Bombyx mori: one gene and its partners. The protein of the gene in region 3 purifies or fractionates together with the protein of the main gene of each other region. This does not show direct contact. Links are inferred from orthologs where the notes say so. Each region holds a gene or a part of one and is shown on either strand. Other genes may lie near its edges. The genes, in order: ragulator complex protein LAMTOR3 homolog, ragulator complex protein LAMTOR5 and neutral amino acid transporter 9.

What was found.
Region 1: the proteins of neutral amino acid transporter 9 (region 3) and ragulator complex protein LAMTOR3 homolog purify together in Homo sapiens (affinity purification with mass spectrometry; 3 studies listed by BioGRID and IntAct, with this or other methods). This does not show direct contact. The link is inferred for Bombyx mori from reciprocal best matches to the Homo sapiens genes SLC38A9 and LAMTOR3.
Region 2: the proteins of neutral amino acid transporter 9 (region 3) and ragulator complex protein LAMTOR5 purify together in Homo sapiens (co-immunoprecipitation; 5 studies listed by BioGRID and IntAct, with this or other methods). This does not show direct contact. The link is inferred for Bombyx mori from reciprocal best matches to the Homo sapiens genes SLC38A9 and LAMTOR5.

What each region holds. Positions count from the first base shown.
Region 1 is NC_085109.1:12,157,869-12,161,975, reverse strand, and holds ragulator complex protein LAMTOR3 homolog, read left to right. Parts: upstream 1-1,197; 5' UTR 1,198-1,349; coding exon 1,350-1,393; intron 1,394-1,710; coding exon 1,711-1,903; intron 1,904-2,636; coding exon 2,637-2,777; 3' UTR 2,778-3,888; downstream 3,889-4,107. UniProt on the Homo sapiens protein: As part of the Ragulator complex it is involved in amino acid sensing and activation of mTORC1, a signaling complex promoting cell growth in response to growth factors, energy levels, and amino acids.
Region 2 is NC_085110.1:1,233,066-1,237,276, forward strand, and holds the start of ragulator complex protein LAMTOR5, read left to right. Parts: upstream 1-1,373; 5' UTR 1,374-1,478; coding exon 1,479-1,751; 3' UTR 1,752-1,754; intron 1,755-2,640; exon of another isoform or gene 2,641-3,101; 3' UTR 3,102-4,211. UniProt on the Homo sapiens protein: As part of the Ragulator complex it is involved in amino acid sensing and activation of mTORC1, a signaling complex promoting cell growth in response to growth factors, energy levels, and amino acids.
Region 3 is NC_085109.1:1,879,117-1,882,772, reverse strand, and holds part of neutral amino acid transporter 9, read left to right. Parts: intron 1-1,745; coding exon 1,746-1,903; intron 1,904-2,629; coding exon 2,630-2,791; intron 2,792-3,537; coding exon 3,538-3,656.

The DNA of each region.
Region 1 (4,107 bases), about 10 Mb from region 3:
TATTGCTTCGCATTTATGAACACTTATTCTATTATAATTGGTTGACTATGCAAATAAATCTCTAGAAGTACAAAGGCAATAATTATTGTACCCAAAAATAAATTACGAAAATCCCACAACTTGTCAGTTCGATTCTGCCATTTTGGCAATAGACTTTAAAAATAATTTTTAATCTGTGTTCATTTACATTTGAATTTTTCGCTGTTTCCAAGTCAGTAATATTTATTAAAAAAAAAAAAGAATTGCTCGCTACTGACATTCTCATCTCATTTATTTTTTTGGGGATCCTCACGGATCACTTATCGGCATTTGTTTAATAAAATAAATAGTAAACATTAATAGACTTATGTGGGATTAGTATTCTATATAGATCCATATTCGTTGTATAATGAGCTAATTTTGAATTAAGCAACAGGCACAAATAGATTTTGTAACAGAATAATCATAGAATATAGGTAATCTGTGAACTTTCATGAAATTTCTGAAATTGGCCTAAAACCTTTTTTTTGGAGGGAACGCGAGGAGTGACGTTGTGTGAGTTGTTTTATTTTGTCAATTTAGTGTTTCTTCAGGTTTAAATGTGTAATAACCGTGGTTTATAAACTGTTTAGTATAACTGTGAAAGTGCACAAATGTGGGAAAATGAAACTAAGCCACTGAACGTAACTTCTCGGGATCCTCCAAAAAGTCCACTCAAAAATCTTAGTAAATGGCCACCATTTTACTGAGATTGTATTTCATCCCTTATCATCCCATCTCATTTCATTTCATGTTTCATATGAATGAACTTCATTTCATTTCACTTCATATTATCATTTTTCATACATAATAAAAATATATTTAAAATATAAAAGCTTAAGGCAGCGATTCCCAAAGTGGTCTATATCGACCCCTAGGGGTTATGTTATTTTATTTATAGTTTATTTTATGTTACGTATATTTTACATAACAGATACAAAATTTTATTTTGAGTAGTTTTAATTTAAATTCAATTAATAAATGTATAAATTAACATGGGTTTTATTTTAAGTTTTTAACACTAAACTTTACTACAGTTAGAAATTTACAGGAAATCAATATCAGGTAAGTAGGGGGTCTACCCAACACGGAAAAACATGGCAAGGGGTCTACGACACAAAAAAGTTTGGGGAACTCTGGTTTAAGGTATATACTAAGGTACCTTTGCCTGTCCAGTTGGAAAAACAAAATTAGTATTACTACTGGCGTAAAACCAATTTGTCAACTGTCAACATTAAAAAAATATAAACAAACCTTATTTTTTTCACAATTTAGTATTTGCTAGCTTTCCATATTTCTAAAACCAAAAAAGATTTTTCACTGTAAAAAATATGGTTGACGATCTTAGAAAATACTTGAATCATTTACTGGAAAAGTAAGAAAACTTTATAATTTACGTTTTTACTCTTTGGTTTTTCGTTTTATTATCTTACTTGCGACCCGCCCTAGCTTCGCTTCGGAAATTGTTATTTATTATTGATTTCTCCACTATTTAATGGATGTTATTATACACATAAACCTTCCTCTTCAATCACTCTATCTATTAAAAAAAACCGCATCAAAATCCGTTGCGTAGTTTTAAAGATTTAAGCATACATAGGGATATAGGGACAGAGAAAGTGACTTTGGAAAGTACGTACGGATGGATAAAAAAGAAAAACTATTGATGGCCTTAACTTTATTCTTTTTCAGAGTAAATGGCCTACATTGTATTTTGATTACCGATAGAGACGGTGTACCCCTTGTGAGGGCGGTAACTGAAAGAGCGCCTCCACTAGCTCTGCGTCCTAACTTCATATCCACGTTTGGAATGGCCACAGATCAGGCTAGCAAACTTGGGTTGGGTAGAAATAAAACCATTATATCAATGTATTCTAGTTATCAGGTTAGTTTTGAAAAAAATATACATTATTATTTTTAGTAAGTGATAAATATATAGTTATTGCGTGCTACCGAGTGCTACCAGGCAACCTCCGACGGAGAGCCAGCGCCAAACTATAAAAAAGATCCCTCGCTGCGCATTTGCCCTCTTTTTTGTGTGTAGCGTTCATGTACGTTTCTTGTTGAAACATGTTTTGGACTTGTGTAGTTTTTACAGTTTTCGTTAATGGTAGATTGAAATCATTTTGTTAGAAATTTTGTTTAATTCAGTGAAATATAATTAGACCAGTTCTGTGTAATTTATTTCTATTATATAAGAGGTTTAACTACCTCACTTCTGGTCAATTATAGAATTGTAGGGCTATAAAGCCTCCCTCATACATGGAGCTATTGTCGCTTATTGAGTGCTAGTTATTAGTAAATACATGATGTTGAAGAATGAGACTGCCCTGTTTGCCTGGAATGAGTATAATAAGTTAGTTAAATTTCTTTAGGTGGAATCATTGCTAACACAAGCTGTATAATAGCAAAGGAAGTCAAATCTGGGCACAATTTTGGGCTTCAGTCAATCAGTTATTATAAAAAATATCTAAATTTAAAATACATATTTAGAACCCTAAAATTATTGATAAATTATTTTAAATCGAAATATTGCAATCTTGAGCCATTCACAGTATAATAGTATTTCTAATATTTCTGTAATGTTCATGTTTAATAAAAATAATCATAATTTACAGGTGGTACAAATGAGCAAACTACCCCTAGTTATCACATTTATTGGAAGCGACAACTGCAACACTGGTCACATCTTATCATTAGAGAGTCAGATTGAACCGTTCTTGAAGGACTTGGAGGTGGTAGTTGCAGATGCACCTTGAATCAAACAAGCGAAACCAAAATATTTCTCATAAATTACTCATATAAACATGTTTTTAAAATATATCAAGGCTATTTGGTTTAAGCGACATTCATCTTTGTAATTAAAGGTACCTTTTAATTGGTATTAGCATCAAGACTTTGTTGAACTTTAATTAAATTTACTCCATTCTAATAGCAGAAGAAGTGTTTTTGTCTGATATATTTTTCCAAATTTTAAACATTTTGGCTCACCTGTAAAGTTTCAAAAATGTTGCTTAAACCAAATAGCCTTTTACAACTCTCTAAAATAGGTTTATTAAGGCTAATGTGGGATCGAAGTTACATATTTATTTTTCGGTGCTTTTATGAACTGTATATAGTAATATGAACATTGGCAATGCCTTGCGTTTTTTTACAATAATCTGTTTAGCTAAAGTATATTGATGTAAAATAAGTTATGTGGAACCCATCATAAAGTAATGCAAATCTGCAATTACATAGATTAAATGCAATATAAAAGTTTATCCAAAAACATTACATAATTGCATATATGAATATTATTCGAATGCTTTGAGTGCAAATACCTATAAAATTTGGTGTTGCCAGTGTCAGTTTTGAACTATAACATCTTCTTTTTTTAACTACCTACATTACTAACAATGATAGAAAAGTTTAAAAACTGAAATAATTTATATTAATAAGATGTATATAGAAGCAGGGTTGACTGCATATAGTTAGTAATGTGTACATATAAGGCAGATGACGTATTGGAATATGCAATGCAGCTTGATGCAGAGATGCAGTCCAATATTCCAGGTATTTGTTTAAAAAGTGCATTATATGATTCATTGATTTATGTATGGACATGTAGTGAATACGTCTGGTATGATATTTGCCTAAAATATATTTTTTCTCTAAAAATGTCAGTAGCTACTTTGATATATTACAACTAGTTTATGTGTATTATCTATTATCTATGGTTACAGTATCCCTAAATGTTTATTGGTGTTTAATGTATGTATATATAATTGAATTTTGGAATTGAAATTCTAAAATGCTATTTAAAGTGTCAAAACATATAAAGTTATAAAAAGGAAACTATTTACGTACCATTAAAAGTTAACTGTTTTAGTTCTTGTTTTCTTAATTTTGGGAATTACCTACTTGTATAGTTTTCTGAACGAATTTATCATTGAATTATTAAGTTATAAGAAGCAAACCTTTTAGCCAGATCAGAACTACTATCGTTCGGAAATTAAGGTTGGGGCAGCAACTTTAGGTATGATGGGATTCATTTATTTTCGTATCAGGAATCACCAGCAGTGCCACCTTCTCAATGACAAGTGTTCA
Region 2 (4,211 bases), on a different chromosome or scaffold from region 3:
AGAACTTTGCTGCAATGTGAGACAAGGGCTAGCGTGCGGTTATTGTCGCACTTCCTAGTTGACCCTTTTTTATGAAGCGGCAAAATGATCAACTCAGTCCAGTTATTGGGCCACTCGCCATGTTGCCATACGTAATTGCAGATGCTATGCACTGCATTCACACCCCTATCTCCCAGCGATTTAATTATTTCTGCCGTGATGTGATCCGGTCCTGGAGCTTTATTGCTCTTTAGTCGAGAGATGGCTTCTGTTACTTCTGATCGTATTATTGAAGGTTCTAAGGTTATGTCGTCCCAGACTGGGAGTTGTGTACTCATTGACTGAGGCTGATCATATAATCCTTCACAGTATTTACGCCACATTTCGACAACGGCATTTAAATCAGTGATAGGCTTGCCATTGGGATCTTCAATTATCCAGGATCTTGGTTTAAATTTCCGAGACAAAAGGCGAACTTTCTTGAACAAATAAGACGGTTGGTATTTTTGTGAATGTTTTTCGATATCAGTGTAAATGTCTCCAATGAAACAGCTTTTATCTCGGCGGCACGCTTTTTTAATTTCCTTGCAAAGGTCAGAATAAGTCTTCCTGACGTCATCATTCTGTAATCCCTTCACTTTGATGTCTTTCCTCTTGCTTATAAGCTTCTCTTGTTTGCTCCGAAATCCATACTTTGGTTTTTTTTCCGATTTGCATTTCCCTCTCTGCGGGAAGCCTTGATTTCTTCAAGGGATTCGCAGAGATGAGATTTTACGGTATCCCATTGAGTGTTAGCATCGCCTGTAGGAGGTTCTAGGGCTAGTTTTTTCTCCACGGCATCGCATAAGTATGTCCTTTCTTCCGGTTCCAGTGCACGTGGTCCTCTGATGGTTCTACTGCTGGCAGTTTTGTGTCGTAATGTAAATCTTTATGGTCAATTTTTAAAAAAACTACTACCAATTGAATAAGAACTGTCTGATGAATTCATCTTTGTTTAATACTTCACTATTAAATTTTATTGACTTTTGTTTATTTTACTTTTACACTAAACACTAAATATTGCAAATTACCCGAGCACAACAATGGCGGAGAATTTTAGATGCGTGAGAGCAGACGTAGACAGACGTAGACGCATGCACACTTAACCCAGGGAGAAAAAGTTACACTTTCTTTCCTGTACAGCAGGAGGAAAAGTTACACTTTCTTCCCTGTATAGCGGGACGAAAACCGAACTTTCGGCGTCGGTAGGAGAAAAAATTTATTTTCAATTATTTGTACCATTTCGCTATCGTAACACAAACACGGCTCAGTCTAACAAAAAACTTAGTTCTATACACGGCTTTATTTGCTTGTCCAACTAGACTTTAAAAAAATACATCTGTCAGTGCTGATGCTATGTCAAAAGTCAACAAAGAATCTTTTGTTTTGTTTCCAAAAGACAGTCGACAGTCGACTTTGACCGTGTTTTTTATAAATTAATATAAATTTGTTTAATAAAAATGGAAAACGATCTAGACAAAGTCGTAGAAGAAATCATGTCTATGCCTAATGTCAATGGCTGTCTTATCGCGGACCCACAAGGACTATGCTTGGCATCAAAAGGCGCCGCGCACGTAGACTCTGCAGGGATAATCGTTGCCATATCAGAACAGGCCTGTAAAATACAACCGAACATGAAACCGCCCACAGTTTGCCTTGAAACTGATAAAAAACAGTGCCTCATACAACGACATGGCACGATCACCGGAGCGATTTTTAAATTGAAAACATAGAAGGTACTTGTATATTTTATTTATTTATTGAAAATGTAATAATTGTTTATCATGATATGTATGAACGGCCTTGAACTTAAATGAACTCTTTGCTGTTACTTCACAACATAGTTTTCTATGGAACATGAAATTACTTGTAAGTTATGACATAAGTGAAATGTAATAACAATATTTTAATGTACAGGTAGCTAGCCCTACTATAACACGGTATTTTACAACACGATTCCACACTAACACGAAAAGATAAATTCCCCAAAACCTTATAATGAGATTTTTGTTATATAGAAAATTACATTACGCACTATGAACACACAAGTTATGGGAGTAACTGAAACTTTACTGCTTCATCATCATCATCATCATCAGCCCATCATCAGTCCACTGCTGGACATAGGCCTCTCCCAATCCACACCGAGGGTATTTTTTATTTTTATATAATATCATATATTATATAAAAACTTCTATTATTATTCTATTATTTTTTCTATTATTATTAATCTATACTAATATTATAAAGAGGAAAGATTTGTTTGTTTGTTTGTTTCGAATAGGCTCCGAAACTACTGGACCGATTTGAAAAATTCTTTTTCCATTAGAAGCCGACATTGTCCCTGATGAACATAGGCTACTTTTTTTTATTTTTTTTTATTTTTTTTTTTGGTTTCTGTGTGTTTTAATGTTTCCGAAGCGAAGCGAGGGCGGGTCGCTAGTAATGATTATAATGCAAGTTCTTGAAAATAAATCCATTCATGAAAAGAATAATAAGGATGAAGTCTCAAGATGGTGGGTGATAGCATTCACATACTCACATACATTATTCACACATACATTATTAGTAATTATTTAAGTTTCATTTACAGTTAAATAAAGTTTATTATTTGTTTTTCAGTAAAATAAAATTTAAAACAACATTGAACTATTCTGGTAAGCAAGCTATCCAGAAGATCGTGTATTATTCAGCCAAAAGTATGTTAACTTAACATCTCTCAGGAGGTTATGTCTAGTGATAGGAAATAAATTAAAATTATTATTTACTTTTAACTGACCCCCAAAATAACATAAATTTGAATACTTCTTTATCTAGATTTTAATTTCAAAATTTATCTAAAGTATTACCTACCAATCATAAAATGTAAAACCACATAAACATTGTATAATGTTATTTTAAAGAGAATAAATATTAACAGCTAAATTATTGTAATGGCTTACCACCATACTAAGTAAAAGTTTAACAATTATGATTAACATAATATTGTATTCCAAGTATAAGTTTTTCGTAACCACATAAATTCTCTAGTTTCTTCATGTAATAATAATAATGACTGGTTTTTTAATTTGCTTGTTTATTAGCTTTGCCTGTATGCATTGGAATCTTTGAACATTATTTCAACCCACCTCGAAACATTATATAATTGAAATTTAGCACACTTATAAAGGACCGCCCAGAATAATAGAATAATATAATAAGAGTATCCCATTGGACTGACCAGGATCTTCAGGATTATTCTCAAATAATATATAACATAGTATGTTTTTCTTTGGTTTTTGAGTTGTAAACATAATTTAAGTACTTTTACTGTTTAATCTTGCATTAATTATTTTTTGTTATAAGTTAAGTTGCTTTAGTTAACTAAATGATTGTTTAAATTAAAAACTTTCTTTTTCAGCTCGCTAAAAAATACTAAAAAGTAAAAAATATTTGTTAGATGTGGAAAGTTTGTTCTTATAGGATCATAATTTCGTTCTTATTTTAAAAGTTTTAATATAAAAATTAAGTTTAAGTAAGGAAAAGTATGGGGAGTGGTTCTACTGTAAGAAAATATTATTAATGATCATTTTGGTAGTTTTTCAATTACAGCACAAGAGCGCATTATGCAGCATAATGCTCAACGTTGAATGTTCCAACTACAGCAACGCTTCGCACAATCGAGCACTCTCAAAAGTACTGCTGATACTCGCAATCGGTACCAACTCAGTGACAGAATAAATTGACAAGTGTTTTTTCTTTAAGTTGGCATTGATCGAAATTTTGTTTATATTATCGTTAGTAATATTATTTAATGTTGAAAAAAAATGTAAGGCTTTCGTTTCGTCGTAGTTTCTTAGAAATAATCAATATTAAATAAAACTGTGCTAACTTAGCGCACTCTGCTGATGCATTTGAAAACTAATTGACTTTCCAATTAATCTTCAGCATAATTTGGCATTGTGCTTCACTGAGTCGCATTATGCTCTGTAATTGGAAAACTACCTATAACACTTATCATTTAGTTATGGACTATTTATTGTAAGATTTGATGTTAGGCACCCTACACTTTATTAACTTAAATGTTCCACAGGACAAACAGTTACTTAGACTGTGGATAGCCTTTTAAAAGACTATAGAAACGAAACAATTATTTTAATGTTAAGTATCTCTTGTTATTTTATATATGAGGTTTACAAATATTATAATATATG
Region 3 (3,656 bases):
TCTATTGGCCTTGGAGTAATCGTAGGAGTTATAATACTCGCTGGTTTATACCTCCTGTTTACGCGCTGTCGCAAGGGCGCACAGAATTATATTTGGAGACAAATGAGGTTCCGGGATGTACAGCTCGGACAAGGCCGTCCGTCAGCTGCCACCATCCAGTTGCGTGAAGTCGTGCCTAAATCTCAACCTCAGGAAGCAAGAAGTACCGCTTTCGTGTAACCGCGTTCGTTTCGTGTAATAAGCGATGTACGTAATTTGTGTAATATGTACGTATAGGTTAATATTCTTTTATGTTATGTTTAAATTTTTATTCTGTTCCTTTCTATATTGATTTATATTTTTTGTCATGTTTATTGTTTAACGAAATGTCTGCAATTTTAGAAATTAGTTGAAGCATGTAAATGTATTTTTTTATTTTATTTTTTTAAATGTATTTATTTAAAAAAAGGGGGGGCTTATGTAGGGACACATTTAGCAGCGTATGCAGTTTTGTGCATCGCATGCATTTGGTCAGTCGTACATAGCCCACCCGACACGGCAGACACTGGTGAATATACGGAGTTAAAATTGCAATCAACTTGTTTCATTAGTAAAGGGCAGCTTACTCCTTACTCTTGCTAAAGCTACCGTACAAAGAGATTATCACGTACATATTTATATATAAATGGAATGGGCATTTAGACCATATCGCGATAAGGACGTCATTGTAACCGTGATTAGACTTGTAATGTGAGAGAATGTAATGAAGACTGCTTTTACAGTTTGAACTTGGATTTTGTTTTTTGAAATTGGAATTAGTACATTATTTACCATGTTTCGAATAATTTATAAAGCAGTACATCGTAAAATTAATTTTAATTGTGTTTAGGAATTACGAAATAATAATAAAAAAATATGTCGAGGGGTAAAAGGCGCGGGTCTTTAAAGGAAAGTGAAAGGGTATTTAAGCGATATTTCGCTTAATACGGGACGTTCATCATTGTAATTAAAGGTCCGTTTCATGTGGCATTAGCAACAACAATGCGATGTTTTTCAATTGAAATTCAATTACATTTATCACATTCATATAGCTGAAGAAGTTTTTTCGGTAAGTAAGTATATTTTTATTTTATTGAAGTGAAAACTTCTTTAGAATCGTTGTGATTTCAAACCGGATGCAACGGAAAAAACGACAGGTAAGAGACACAAATACAAAAATGTGTAGGATGAAGCCAGCAAAGAATGAGACAGAAATATACATACTATTTAATACAGCGCCATCTGTGAGATTTTTTAATACTAACGTGTGTATGAAAGCTCTTGTAGTGAATTTTAATTTAGGATTATACGTGAAATTAAAATATCAATTCACAGAGGGCGCTACCGTACAATTATTTACTAATGACAAAATTTTACATATACTTAAGACGTTTAGGATGATTGTATTTTAATTTTGGAAGGTTTCACTTCTACCACGTGTGAATTGCACACATTTTGTTTTTATTTATTTATTTATGTACACACAAAAAAGAAGACATAGTACAGAGTAATAGGAAGATTATGTACAAAGGCACTACTTATTTCTTTAAGAAATCTCTTCCAGCAGACCTGCGAGAGGATTATGAGAATAATAATTAAAAGTGATTATATTTTCTTCCAAGTTTTAAACTTTAAATGGCTCTCTTGTAAAGTTGCAAGAACGTCCCTTAAACCCAAATAACCTTTCACCTATCGAAGTGTTTTCAATGTAGGTATATATTTTTCAGTTTTTCAATATGGAACACGATAATGGGGTCGTCGCTACTGACCATGGCGTGGGGCGTCGAGCGGGCTGGTCTCCCGGCCGCTCTGGTCCTGGTCGCAGTAATGGCGGCCTTGTGTCTTTACACCGCCTACATATTGATCTCAGTAAACGCTTATCACGGTGAGATATTTGTTTTAATTCTTCTTTAGTTTAGCTAAAATTGTTTAATTTTTTGAATGCCCGAGCAGGCATACTAGCATACGGCCCACCTGATGGTGAGTGGTTATCGTCGCCCATGGACGTCAGCAATGCCAGAGGCAGAACCAAGCCGCTGCCTACCGCTTGCTTATGCTGGGTATTCGATCTTACTTTTTTTTTTTATTGCCTTTGTAGCCAGACGAGCATACGGCCCACCTGATGGTGAGTGGTTACCGTCGCCCATGGACTTCAGCAACGCCAGGGGCTGAGCCAAGCCGCTGCCTACCGCTAAAACATCTTAACACATTGACACACTTAACTTACTTAACACATTGTGTTCCAGTAACCACTTAGCACCAGGTTTTTTTTATTGCTTAGATTGGTGGACGAGCTCACAGCCCACCTGATGTTAAGCAGCTACTGGAACCCATAGATATCTACAACTCAAATGCGCCACCCACCTTGAGATATAAGTTCTAAGGTCTCAGTACAGTTACAACGGCTGCCCCACCCTTCAAACCGAAACGCATTACTGCTTCACGGCAGAAATAGGCAGGGCGGTGGTACCTACCCGTGCGTACTCACAAGACGTCCTACCACCAGTGTACTGTGTGGGCTGTGAGCTCGTCCACCCATTTCAACAATAAATGAACATGGAGGATCCACTATTTAGCCGCCTATCGCAAACAAATATCTGCGTTCCTGTAGGTAGCGACACGTGCTCGGTGCAGGCGCTGTGCCGGCTGCTGCTGGGCGGCTGGGCGGAGGCGCTGGCGCACGTGTTCAGCGTGCTGGTACTCCTCGGAGCGAACATCGTATACTGGATACTCATCACCAACTTCTTTTACTTCACCGTTAATTATTTTATAGGTAGGAGCCTATTGTTGTTGGTAAATTCGTATTTCTCTAGTCCAATTCCGTTTCCAAATTATAATTTGCGTAATTACTGGTCGTAGGGTCTCTTGTGAGTCCGCACCGCCCAGCTTATTTCGGCCGTGAAGCAGTAATGCGTTTCGGTTTGAAGGATAGGGCAACCGTTGTAACTATTCAGGTACTGACTTTACGGCACGAAGGTAAAGTATTAATTATAATGTCCTTCTCAAGCCAATATGTACGGTTAGCGGCAGAAATCGGCGAGACAGCGGTATCTGTCCTCCTTCTTCTTCTTTTTCCCCACCTTATCCTACAAGGTCGGGTCGGAACAGCGAAATTTTCTATTTCATCCTCTCTCTCTCTCATATCGTCATTCACACACCCCATTCTTGTCTTCTTCGGTCGACCTCTTCCCCCTCTACCTCGCACTACCATTTCCATACATCTCCTAGTCAACAACTCTCTGACAACTCTCTGGGTCGTAAGTGAGTTTCGGTGACTTTTTTTATTTTTATAGCTTATATGGTTGTTGGACGAGCTCACAGCCCACCTGGTGTTAAGTGGTAACTGAAGCCCATAGACATCTACAACTTAAATGCACCACCCACCTTGAGGTATGAGTTCTAAGGTCTCAGTACAGTTACTATTGCTGCCGCGCCCTTCAAACCGAAACGCATTACTGCTTCACGACAGAAATAGGCAGGCAGTGTCTGGCAACATCTAAATAACTTTAACCCTTGCAGATCTAAGTGTGTCGAACGCAACCGAATACAACACGACCCTGCTATGTCCGAATCAAATAGTTAACGAGTCGTTAATGATTCCGAGCCCCGCGGAGGAGTCTCGGTACTGGGGGCTCCAC